Linked DNA regions of Daphnia pulex. The protein of the gene in region 3 purifies or fractionates together with the protein of the main gene of each other region. This does not show direct contact. Links are inferred from orthologs where the notes say so. Each region holds a gene or a part of one and is shown on either strand. Other genes may lie near its edges.

The links.
Region 1: the proteins of zinc/cadmium resistance protein-like (region 3) and protein-L-histidine N-pros-methyltransferase-like purify together in Homo sapiens (co-immunoprecipitation; 3 studies listed by BioGRID and IntAct, with this or other methods). This does not show direct contact. The link is inferred for Daphnia pulex from reciprocal best matches to the Homo sapiens genes SLC30A1 and METTL9.
Region 2: the proteins of zinc/cadmium resistance protein-like (region 3) and xyloside xylosyltransferase 1-like purify together in Homo sapiens (co-immunoprecipitation; 3 studies listed by BioGRID and IntAct, with this or other methods). This does not show direct contact. The link is inferred for Daphnia pulex from reciprocal best matches to the Homo sapiens genes SLC30A1 and XXYLT1.

What each region holds. Positions count from the first base shown.
Region 1 is NC_060019.1:9,214,899-9,219,016, reverse strand, and holds the start of protein-L-histidine N-pros-methyltransferase-like, read left to right. Parts: upstream 1-1,286; 5' UTR 1,287-1,526; coding exon 1,527-1,844; intron 1,845-3,769; coding exon 3,770-3,963; intron 3,964-4,118. UniProt on the Homo sapiens protein: Protein-histidine N-methyltransferase that specifically catalyzes 1-methylhistidine (pros-methylhistidine) methylation of target proteins.
Region 2 is NC_060021.1:8,468,100-8,471,394, reverse strand, and holds xyloside xylosyltransferase 1-like, read left to right. Parts: upstream 1-1,341; 5' UTR 1,342-1,405; coding exon 1,406-1,900; intron 1,901-1,959; coding exon 1,960-2,643; 3' UTR 2,644-2,739; downstream 2,740-3,295. Other genes in the region: WD repeat-containing protein WRAP73-like, read right to left, coding at 2,754-2,968, 3,026-3,214, 3,281-3,295. UniProt on the Homo sapiens protein: Alpha-1,3-xylosyltransferase, which elongates the O-linked xylose-glucose disaccharide attached to EGF-like repeats in the extracellular domain of target proteins by catalyzing the addition of the second xylose.
Region 3 is NC_060026.1:1,535,405-1,537,839, reverse strand, and holds the end of zinc/cadmium resistance protein-like, read right to left. Parts: coding exon 2,397-2,435; intron 2,306-2,396; coding exon 2,143-2,305; intron 2,071-2,142; coding exon 1,968-2,070; intron 1,899-1,967; coding exon 1,797-1,898; intron 1,400-1,796; coding exon 1,175-1,399; 3' UTR 623-1,174; downstream 1-622. Other genes in the region: uncharacterized protein LOC124204766, read left to right, coding at 1-30, 143-272. UniProt on the Homo sapiens protein: Zinc ion:proton antiporter that could function at the plasma membrane mediating zinc efflux from cells against its electrochemical gradient protecting them from intracellular zinc accumulation and toxicity.

The DNA.
Region 1 (4,118 bases), on a different chromosome or scaffold from region 3:
TCTCTCCTGACCCATTCTTCATTCCAACAGCAACCCGTTCACAATGTCTTTCTGTGTGTGTGCTGTGTGTGTGTGTGTCTGTCTTTTTCCAACAGCATTCCACCCATTGGGGGGAGAGAGAGACGGTCGGATGGATGGAGAGTCGCGTTCATTAGCTCCTTCATCGTCCGTCCGTCTTCTTGCACGACTGCACCTTTATTCTTTTTCTTTCTTTCTTTCTTCCAGTGTAGTATAGAGGATCGGGGGGGGGGGAAGAAAATAACGAATAATACCAATGTGGGGGGTTCTCCAAGCTAGACACAGTTCAGGAAACCTTTGACCCATAATACGTTGGGTAGCTGGCAGGTATAGATGTGACTGTGTGCTTAGGGACGTGCCATCTACCAATTCCAACAGCTTCTTATTTTTGTAGTTGTTTCATTTTTTTTTCTTTTTTGTTAGCCCCCAAAAGTTTTTATTCTCATGTTCCACTGTGGCCCAGGGTGTGACAAACGACACTGGGATGCAACGGGGCAGCTTCACAAAAACGACCGATTTCTATTTTTCTAGAAGAAAAAAAAAAAGAAAACTTACCCTCCCATCATTCACCAAAATCCTGATGGGGGTTGCTACACTCTCACATACAGTAGAAAATAATAATAATAATAAAAAGGCTAAGAAATCTTTCCCCTCTTCTTGTCATAACGATGCACAATAGATTTTGTGGTCACAGGTATATATATGAAGGAAATGTTAGACCTTATAGGGGCTTATATTTTTGTGTGCGTAATACATATATACTATGCATACGTCGGATGTGCATGGAAGAGAAAAAAAAAATCTTTCCCCCCCCGTTTTTCGTTGGCCACATGTATTATGTATGCACCGGAATTCAAAAATGGCAGTAGACAGTCTACTTTGTTTTTGTTCTCATCGTACGGTGTTGTATCCTCCTCACTATACTATACTCGAGGTTATTTATGGTTCAGCATTTTGTTTGTGGTACAACAGGACGTTAAACATATTGAAGATCCGCTTGGGATCACAAGACTATTCGGAGAATGTCTCTTTAGTTTCGCGTGTCTGCTGGCGAGTCGTGTCTGATTTTGTTGCCGGCAGTTGTTTCGCATCATTCCCGCGTGCATTAAATGTCATTTTCTTTTATGAATGAAAATGGCAGGAGAAAAAATCGCGAGGTTCAATTGATGCATCGCAATTTCGTTGCAAGCATTTTCGTTTCTTTTCTCTGCAGAGTGCAGAGAATAAATCACGATCGAGCCCGCCCGCCAAGTTGCTGTTTAGCCCTCACCTTTTTCATCGATCACGTTGACGTCGTCTGCTGCAGCCCACATTTTTATGAAAAAGAACGACAAGAGCTCGAGATTTTTTGAATGCTTTCGTTAAAAAGCATATGCTGTTGTTATTTATGCTGTCTAGGCTCAGCCCACTCTCGTTGCATTGAAAGTCACACTATAATCAAGCGGAAAAAGTAGTCGCACGGCATCTTAATATTTCCACATCAAGCATCAATTAGATCGTCCGTTTTGATGAGAAAGTTTCCCATGCCCTGCTTGTTGTGGCACGCATGTGAACTCGTTAATTATCGACTGAAGCCCACCACGCAGTTTCTTTGCTGCCTGCTTCTGTGCCTCAGTGCAACAGCCACAATGCCTGGCTCAGCGGGCAGGATGGATAGTGTTTCGATCCATTCCAGAACAGTTGATTCCTGTGATACTGCTGGCTGCCAAGAGTGTCTTCCGGCAACAACACCCACATCCAGGCCTTACTTCAGGTCAGCTCTAACCCGTTCTGTCTATTCCAAGATCCTGGTGGACGAAGAGTTCAAGAAATTCGACAGGACCAAGGTAAATCCCACACACACACACTTATATCCCAGCCCATCGTCATTCAGGTAACTCCCACATCTGCAAGGTGACGAGTCATTCACAGCCCTCACATTGATGAGAAACACTTGGTTGCTGTGTCTAGTGATGGGGCGGTATCAGTAATGAATCATAAATTAGTCTTACAGCCTAGGCAAACACAATGGCCGTGAATGGCGGTCTCTCGGGGATGTTAACCACATCGGGAAAATGAGGGCGACTCCTCTTAGTCTTAGTCGTCGTCCTTCGTAGTGCTTCTTTCACCGCCCCTGCCGCCCCACCTCACGACGTCGACGTTCCACCACCACCACCTTCTTCCCACTGGGTAGTTTTGCGGTCGGCTTTAATCATGTTTCCAACCTAGCAATTACAAACTCATTATTATCGAAGCTATTTTTCCTTTTTTCTTCGTCTTTCCTTCCCGAATTTCTTCTCTCGAGTCCAATTAAAAATCGTACAATTTCTCTCTCACCCTAAGCTCAATCCCTCCTCCCCCTTTTGTTCGTTGTAGAGACACTTCCGTCGTGCGGGTACCGAAGGAAAGGGTGGATTCAAGGGAATTATAGGTTTCAAATTGGAAGTTAAGAAGAAGAAGCTGGGACCTTGTTTCTTTTTCCGTCCTTGGCCATCTCGTCTATTTTTTCTTCTCCCTTTTCGTTCCCATCGCATTCAATTTATTCTGCCGTGAATGGTAAATTAGCTTCACTTTGGCGTGAAAGAAAAGACTTGTTCTTCTCTCTCTCTCTTCACTGGCACACACACACACACAAGACTTATTGTTTGTTCCCTTCTTTCTCGTTACTTATTCCCTCCTTTCTTTCTCCTTGCGACGACGTTCTTATTCTTTTTTCATTTCATTTACTTGTTCTTCTTCTTCTTCTTTCCTGTTTGAGTGCACAGTCGCCCGGCACTCCCGAACTTGCCGGCTTTAATGGCAGTAATTAGGTAGCGTTTGTTCTCTTAATCAGAGCAACGTTGTTGCTGTTGTCCGCAGGCTTCCCCCCCATCTCCGGCCTCCCGACAATAGCGAAACACCGAAGCAACAGTTTATTTTTTCTTCTTTTATTTACCATTAGAAACCTCTCACGATGTTATTTCATTTTTTAGACGCATTGTTTTCGTCCTCTTCTCTTCTTTTCAATCACTCACCTTAATAATATTTTCCCTCCCCAGTTTCACGGGACTTGGCAGACTACCGTGAAACAATCTCCAATCGAGAGTGGGTGGAACAAAAAAAAAGTAGTATTTTGGACTCTTTGACGTTTTTGACATTTCCTCGGTGAATGGGCGACACATGGCTTGTTCACAGGGCTCGCTCTTTTGGTGTGATTCAATTCCAACATCTTTTTTTGAACTCGGTGCAAATGTCAGTGGACAAGAAAAAGGAGGAGGGCGTCTAGCTGTCAAATAGATTGACACCTCGGTGCCAGCCTAATAGAAAATTCCATACGTGTTACATAATGCCGGGGCGGACTGACAATCGAACACAAAAACGTTGCAGTGTCACAGTGTGTGTGCGTGTGTTTAGGTTTCTTCTTTCTTCTTCTTTTCATTATTTCATCATGTTATATTATTTCGGCAGGTTATTGGCCTTAATGTTAGTTGGCCGGATGACCGCCGATGGTGCGGGTGGCGCTAGCCATCAAGCCGCTGATTTGTTATCGGCTATTACGAGGAAAACACACACACACACACACGCACAGACACGTAATAAGAACTGATAATATAGAGTTTGATTGTTCCGACTATGACGCCGTCGGCCGTGATCGCCCTCACTCGATTTCCTTTGCCCCGGAATGAATGGAAAAAGGCGAAGAGAGAAAAGAAGAATTAGATAAATGACGTACTGTTGTTTTGTTTCTTGTTTTTATTTTTATTTTTTTTGTTTTTTGTTTTTTTTTTCGCAGTGGTATAAGGTGAACGTGGAAGCGTTGGAGCCGGAGGCCGCCGAGTTGTTCCTCCAGCTGGACTGGGCCGACGCCGAGACGCAGGTGTTTTTGGAGCGTTGCCAGGAGCGCTCGGACGCCGTCTTCACTCAACTTTTCCACCTGGTGGCCCGCACGCTTCTCGCTCCTTTCGTCAGCCAAACATCCATTAACGGGTACGTTAAAAGAACTTGTATACCTACCTATTTCTCTATCTTTTTTCTTATTTTGTTTCTCTTTGGCCAAAGAGAGTGTCATGAAAACCCCAAAGGAAATTTTGTTTTTTTTTTTCTCTACAAATGGAAGAACGGACTCTCTCCCCCGTAGCTTT
Region 2 (3,295 bases), on a different chromosome or scaffold from region 3:
TTAGATGATTCACCAGAGTTTATGGAATCAGCCAAATAAATGTTGGTTTCCACCCGACCGACCCAAATCAGTCTACACATGTAAACTTGAGTAAAATAGTAAAATTCTGTCACCAAAAAATAACTCGGATAACTCAAAACGAGGAGGTGCCGGTGAGGCTTGGTCAACAAATTGTCTTGTTGAACTTTGCTTGAAGTGTTCAAAGTTGAAATATTTTCAAATGTGATGGTTTACCCACAGAAAAAGTTGTGAGGTAAAAAACAAAACAAGCCTGATCTGAAGTCGTACAACAAATGGGATTTTTAGTGAACCCTGACTGAGAAAAACAAAAACGGAGAGAGAAAACAGTTGCAGTCAACAACCGTCTAGCTCAGGAAGAAACGTACTCCGTGACTACTTAACGATTTAAAATCAACCCCACCAAAAATTGTCAAAAAGGAAGAATAGAGATCAATTTTGTCCTACCTTAGTGCCTGGGAAATACAGCCAGGCATCCACAAGTCCATCGCTGAAGAGTTAAATTGCACCAGGATAAGATATAAAGGGTGTCCTCGTGAATACACCCACATTCACATGGGCGTACACGAGGACATTTAAAGAAAGGGGGAAAAGAGAAATCCGTAACTCGATTGACATCGGTAGTTTTGCTAATGCAATGGGATACTGTGTATCTAAATGAAAAAAGAAAATGGGTTACGAATAAATATTGATAGAAACAACAAGTCAGGAAAAGTTGAAAATGAGACACTGGGTAAACCCTAATTATTAATAAATGGGAGAATGAAAGGTGTATACATGTAATACACTGCATTGATGCAGGTAATGCAGCAATGCATGCAATTAAAATATCTAGTAGGTCACAGGTCAATTTTAAATTAAAGGAAATCATTACCCAAGCGATGATCCTGAGATTGTTGCTAATGACAGGTTTAACACCTGCACAAGAAAAACTTGCATATTGTGTGGAACCTTATGATGGCTGGCTCTGGCCTCAAATCTGCAAAAAAGAAAAATGTTAGGTTACAAACTGCTATGCATCGAAATTCGAAAGGGCAATTAAAAATGATAAATGCTAGTCAGGAAAGTTCTCACATTTCACAAATTAATTTGAATTAAACCAGGGTCATAATGATTTTTTATATGATTCACAGATTCACTTGATCTACTGTCCCGACTGCTAATGCACGAATGAATAAGGTTGGCGTGAAATTTTGAAAATAAACCATGGTCTATGAGTACCATGAATAAACTAGTAAAATTTGCAAGTTGGTGCCAAAAAATAACTCGAAAATCAAAATAACATGGCATTAGAGCCACTACAATCATCGTAGGCAATGCTGTTTGTAGGTGGAGCCACCATATTCCTGTGGTTATGTAGGATGGTTGATTTGCTTATTGTGATTCTATGCCCAAATCAATCCATCTATTTCTTTTCCTGCTTGCTACATGTTCTTTTTTAGTTTGCTTGTATTATAACGAAATCGAGAAGAATGTGAGTCGAAGATTTGGGCCCCATTTGTTGGGCTCTAATCTTCGAAACTTGCGCTCAAGTGAAGATATCTCGGGATTGACAGGTGCAGTGCTCAACAATGTCACGCCCTCAGCATCTGTTCAACATGGCGATGAATACCAGAATAACTCTGCCCTTACTTACTACAGTGCCAATACCAAGAATGCCAATGTTTCGTCGACGGAAGCCATTCATCTTGCTGTGATTTTCTGTAATGTTGGACAAAAGGCTGCTCTAAAATGGAATTTCAAAAAAATGACTCGTTCACTCATCAAACTCTGCTCCAAAAACATTGCTTTGCATTTTCATTTGGTAACTGATCCAAGTAGCTGGGAAATAGCCAAAGAGATTATTCATAATGAATCAAAGAAAACTCAAACCAATATCCAAGTAAGATCTTATGTGAACTTTGTTAGAGGTTTTTTTAATGTTGTTTCTTCTCCTTTCAGGTATCAGCCTATTTTATAGACACTTTTGTCAAGCAATTTGTCACTACTGTTCAAGTGCTTCAGCAATATTTTAGTGTTAAGCAAGGGACTTATTACAGTCAAGCACTGTTCTATGTATCTGTGCAACTACCAGATTTGATCCCTTCTGATGTTACCAGACTCATATTTGTGGATGTGGATACAGAGTTCCGGGACAGCGTTGAGAAGCTCAACCAGCAATTTGAATACTTTGATGATCAGCAACTGCTTGGATTAGCCCCTGAATTGTCACCAGTTTATCGCCATATACTCTATGTTTACCGGAATCAACACAAGACTTCATTACTAGGAGAACCTAAAGGAAAAGGCTTTCCTGGCTACAATAGTGGAGTGGTGTTGATGAAATTAGACAAAATGAGGCAGTCTGTCATCTATCAGTCACTCCTCACTAATTCTTCACTAGGTAACTTGACAGACAAGTACAGCTTCAAGGGACATTTGGGTGATCAAGATTTCTACACACTTGTTGCATTGGAATATCCTCAATTATTTTATACACTCCCTTGTAACTGGAATAGGCAATTGTGCCAATGGTGGAAGTCAAAAGGCTATGATGACATATTTGATCAGTTTTATGAATGTAAAGGTTTTATCAGTTTGTATCATGGGAACTGCAACAGTCAAATTCCTGATGCCAATAATTAATTTGCCAATTCATGTCTAGCTTAACACATTTGCTCTCTACTGGTGCCATATATATATATTTCAGAAATTATACAAGATATGCTTTATCTGGTTAAATCTTTTGTTAATGACTATTTTACTTGGCACACACAGCCTACATCTTTACCAGCAATCATCAAATGTTCTCCACTAGCGGTCCAATCTGCACGATCTGCTTTTAGAGCTGAAGCAATTATATTGGTAGGTCGAAGATCCGTAATAGCACTACCCACGGGTGTCCAGGCATAGAAATTACCGTTTCCACAGACGGTAGCCAAACGAGGATCAGTATGGGACCATTTGAAACCTAGATGATATTTCATTTATGTAAAAATTTTTATGGATGAGATAAGAAAGAAAATACTTCTGATCGCGGAGCAATGCACCAGTACACTTTTAAGCGAGAAATAAGGTAATTCCCAAATCCATAATACACGGGGTCGTTGTTGATCGAAGACGGCCAAGTATCGTGCGTCAGAACTAAAGGCCAAAATAAGCTGCCCAACGGAAGATTCGCCTGGTAATGTAAAAGGTCGATCTTCAACGATTTGATCTGAGAAGAAAGAATTTTAAGAATAAGAAACTGAATTGTAGAACAACGTTTTTGAAAAGAACTCACACTTCAGTTGGTCTT
Region 3 (2,435 bases):
GGGAGTGATCCATTGTCGACGACGCAACAGGTAATTTGACTAAATAAATGGCTGGCTATAAAAGCCACTAAAAGTAATAGAATGAGCTAATAAAAAGCAAAAGAGTCACGACAAATAAAACATTCCCCCCTCCAAACAAAAGCAGGAAATTGGGCGGTCAAAAGGTCGAAAGTGGTAAAGGCGGTGCTGACGACGGCGAGGAATGCGTTCCGCTTCAAGAGACTCCCGGACCGAGCGACGTTCCACAGAATCGAGTCGGAACGCCAGTTTAACAAAACACACAATCCAACTGTTGATGAGGCTAAAAATAATAATAACAAATGATTTCAAATCCAGTCAACCATCAAAACGTTTCTGTAATTGAATATAAGAAACATAAGCTCATCAATCTTAACAAGATTTTTTTTTTAAATAAAAATATACTCAACTTTTTCATCAATTAATTTTTCAAGAAAACAAAATTCTTACTGTTTCTTTTTTCCGCTTGTTTTGGTATTCGTGTGTGTGAGCTTCCTTTTGAATTCTCCCGCCGTTGTCGTATAATCTTGCCGCCATTCAACTTTTAAAAATATCATCCGAAAATTGTGTTTTTCTCCTCCTATCGCTTCGAAATCATCCCCCATTTGAATGTCTAATTGCATTATATATCAATGTCACAAATACAAGATAAAAAAAGATTGTGTGAGGGGACGACATTGAAAGTTTATAGACAAGAAGAAGAAGGACAAAACAATTTCAGGCCACACTCAAAAGTGATTGGATTAAGCAAAATTTTGTTTCGACGGAGAACGAGACGATAAAAAAGAGTGAAACAAAACAAACAACAAAAAAGAAAAAAACTACTCGAGTCAACACAGACAATACGGCAACAAAGGCCGGCAGTTTGTTTGTACACAATTTCAAAAAAAAAAAAAAAGTGACACACACGTCGAGGATTGAGAGACTCGACGCGTATTTTGAGAGGAACATGACACCATCAAAATTCATTTTTTGGATGGAGCAAATCTGTTTTTAAAAAACAAACAATTATCAACCGAATATAAACGCAAAAAAATTCTAGGTTGGGATCGCTTAGCACTTTTGTTTATAAAAAATTTTCCACTTTTGTCAAGTTTGTTTCAGTCAAACTTGTGATAAAACCAAAAAAGGATGGCTGGATTCTGTTGAATAAAAATCAGGACTTGATTGCAATGGAATTGACGTCATGAAGTAAACGTGAATGAGCCGCCGCTTCTTGCTCGGCGCAGCACGAATTGGCCAGCATCAACTCGTCCGCTCCGCTTTCATCCGCTCTTGGCAATGGATTGGGCGCCACGATCCGGTTGGCCAGTCCGTTGGCTGTCGAACGCTGACGGCAATCGTTGGCAGTGATTTCCAGTAACTGTTCAGTCTCTCGACCCTCCAAGTTCCAACACAGAAAAAAGCTCAAATATTATTCCGCTTGATCAAAATTAAATTTAGTGAAAAGCGAATCGCCATTCCAGTTGAGGTGTTTTCGGCATGCAAGAAAAAAAGGTAAATAATAATAGGGAGAAGAAAGAAATTAAAGAAAAAACAATTTTTATTAATACGAAGAAGGGCATTTAGAAAATAATCAAAAGTTGGCCAAAGAAAAAAAAGCGATTCGTGTAGAATGTTGGGGCAGGTAGGTAGGAGTAATGTGCACTTTTAATGTGTGGCAAGAGCATAGCAGTGTCATAAAGCAATCAAACTCAAAACTAAATGTGACTACCTACATCCTCGAGAACTATAATTCCGTCACCAAGGGTCGGGTTTTGTTGACCGACGCCCTTTACCTGTTTGGATGGACCGCAGCAAGTGTTGGCTTCGCACGTCTCTTTGGCTGGGCAATCCAATGCGCAACTCTCTGTCTCGCTGGCACTTTCGTCTCCAGGAAGCTAATAAATCAATGAAATGTTTTAAAAATTAACTTCTCTTTTTTGATTAAAGGTTTAAAAACAAAATACTTCAGTGAATTCTGGCTGGATGGTAGTCGAGTGAATTCCTTCATTGTGGAAAAATTCTTTGACCCTCTCGGCGATTTTCATATAGTCCGACAGATTGCGGCACCTTTTATTACATTTGAACAAACTCAACGGATGAAACAGTGACACAATTGAATTATGTAAGGAAAGCACGTACCGAATGTGAGCTGAAGCGATAATCCGATCTCCTGCCAGCTGCCAGACGTGAAATTCGTGGACTGCCAAAACTCCTTCAACTTGGCTAAGCAATTTGCGCTGAATGTCGTCCAACTGGATGTGAGTCGGGACGGTTTGCAGTAGAATCAAGGCAGACTCGTGCACTGCGCCAAGAATAACACGAAACATAAATTATGATAATGTGAACGGCAAACAATGGCGTAAAAGTATTGATTTTGTTCTTTTCCCACTTACACAATGGCCAAGTGGACCACATAATCAGGCAGACCATGG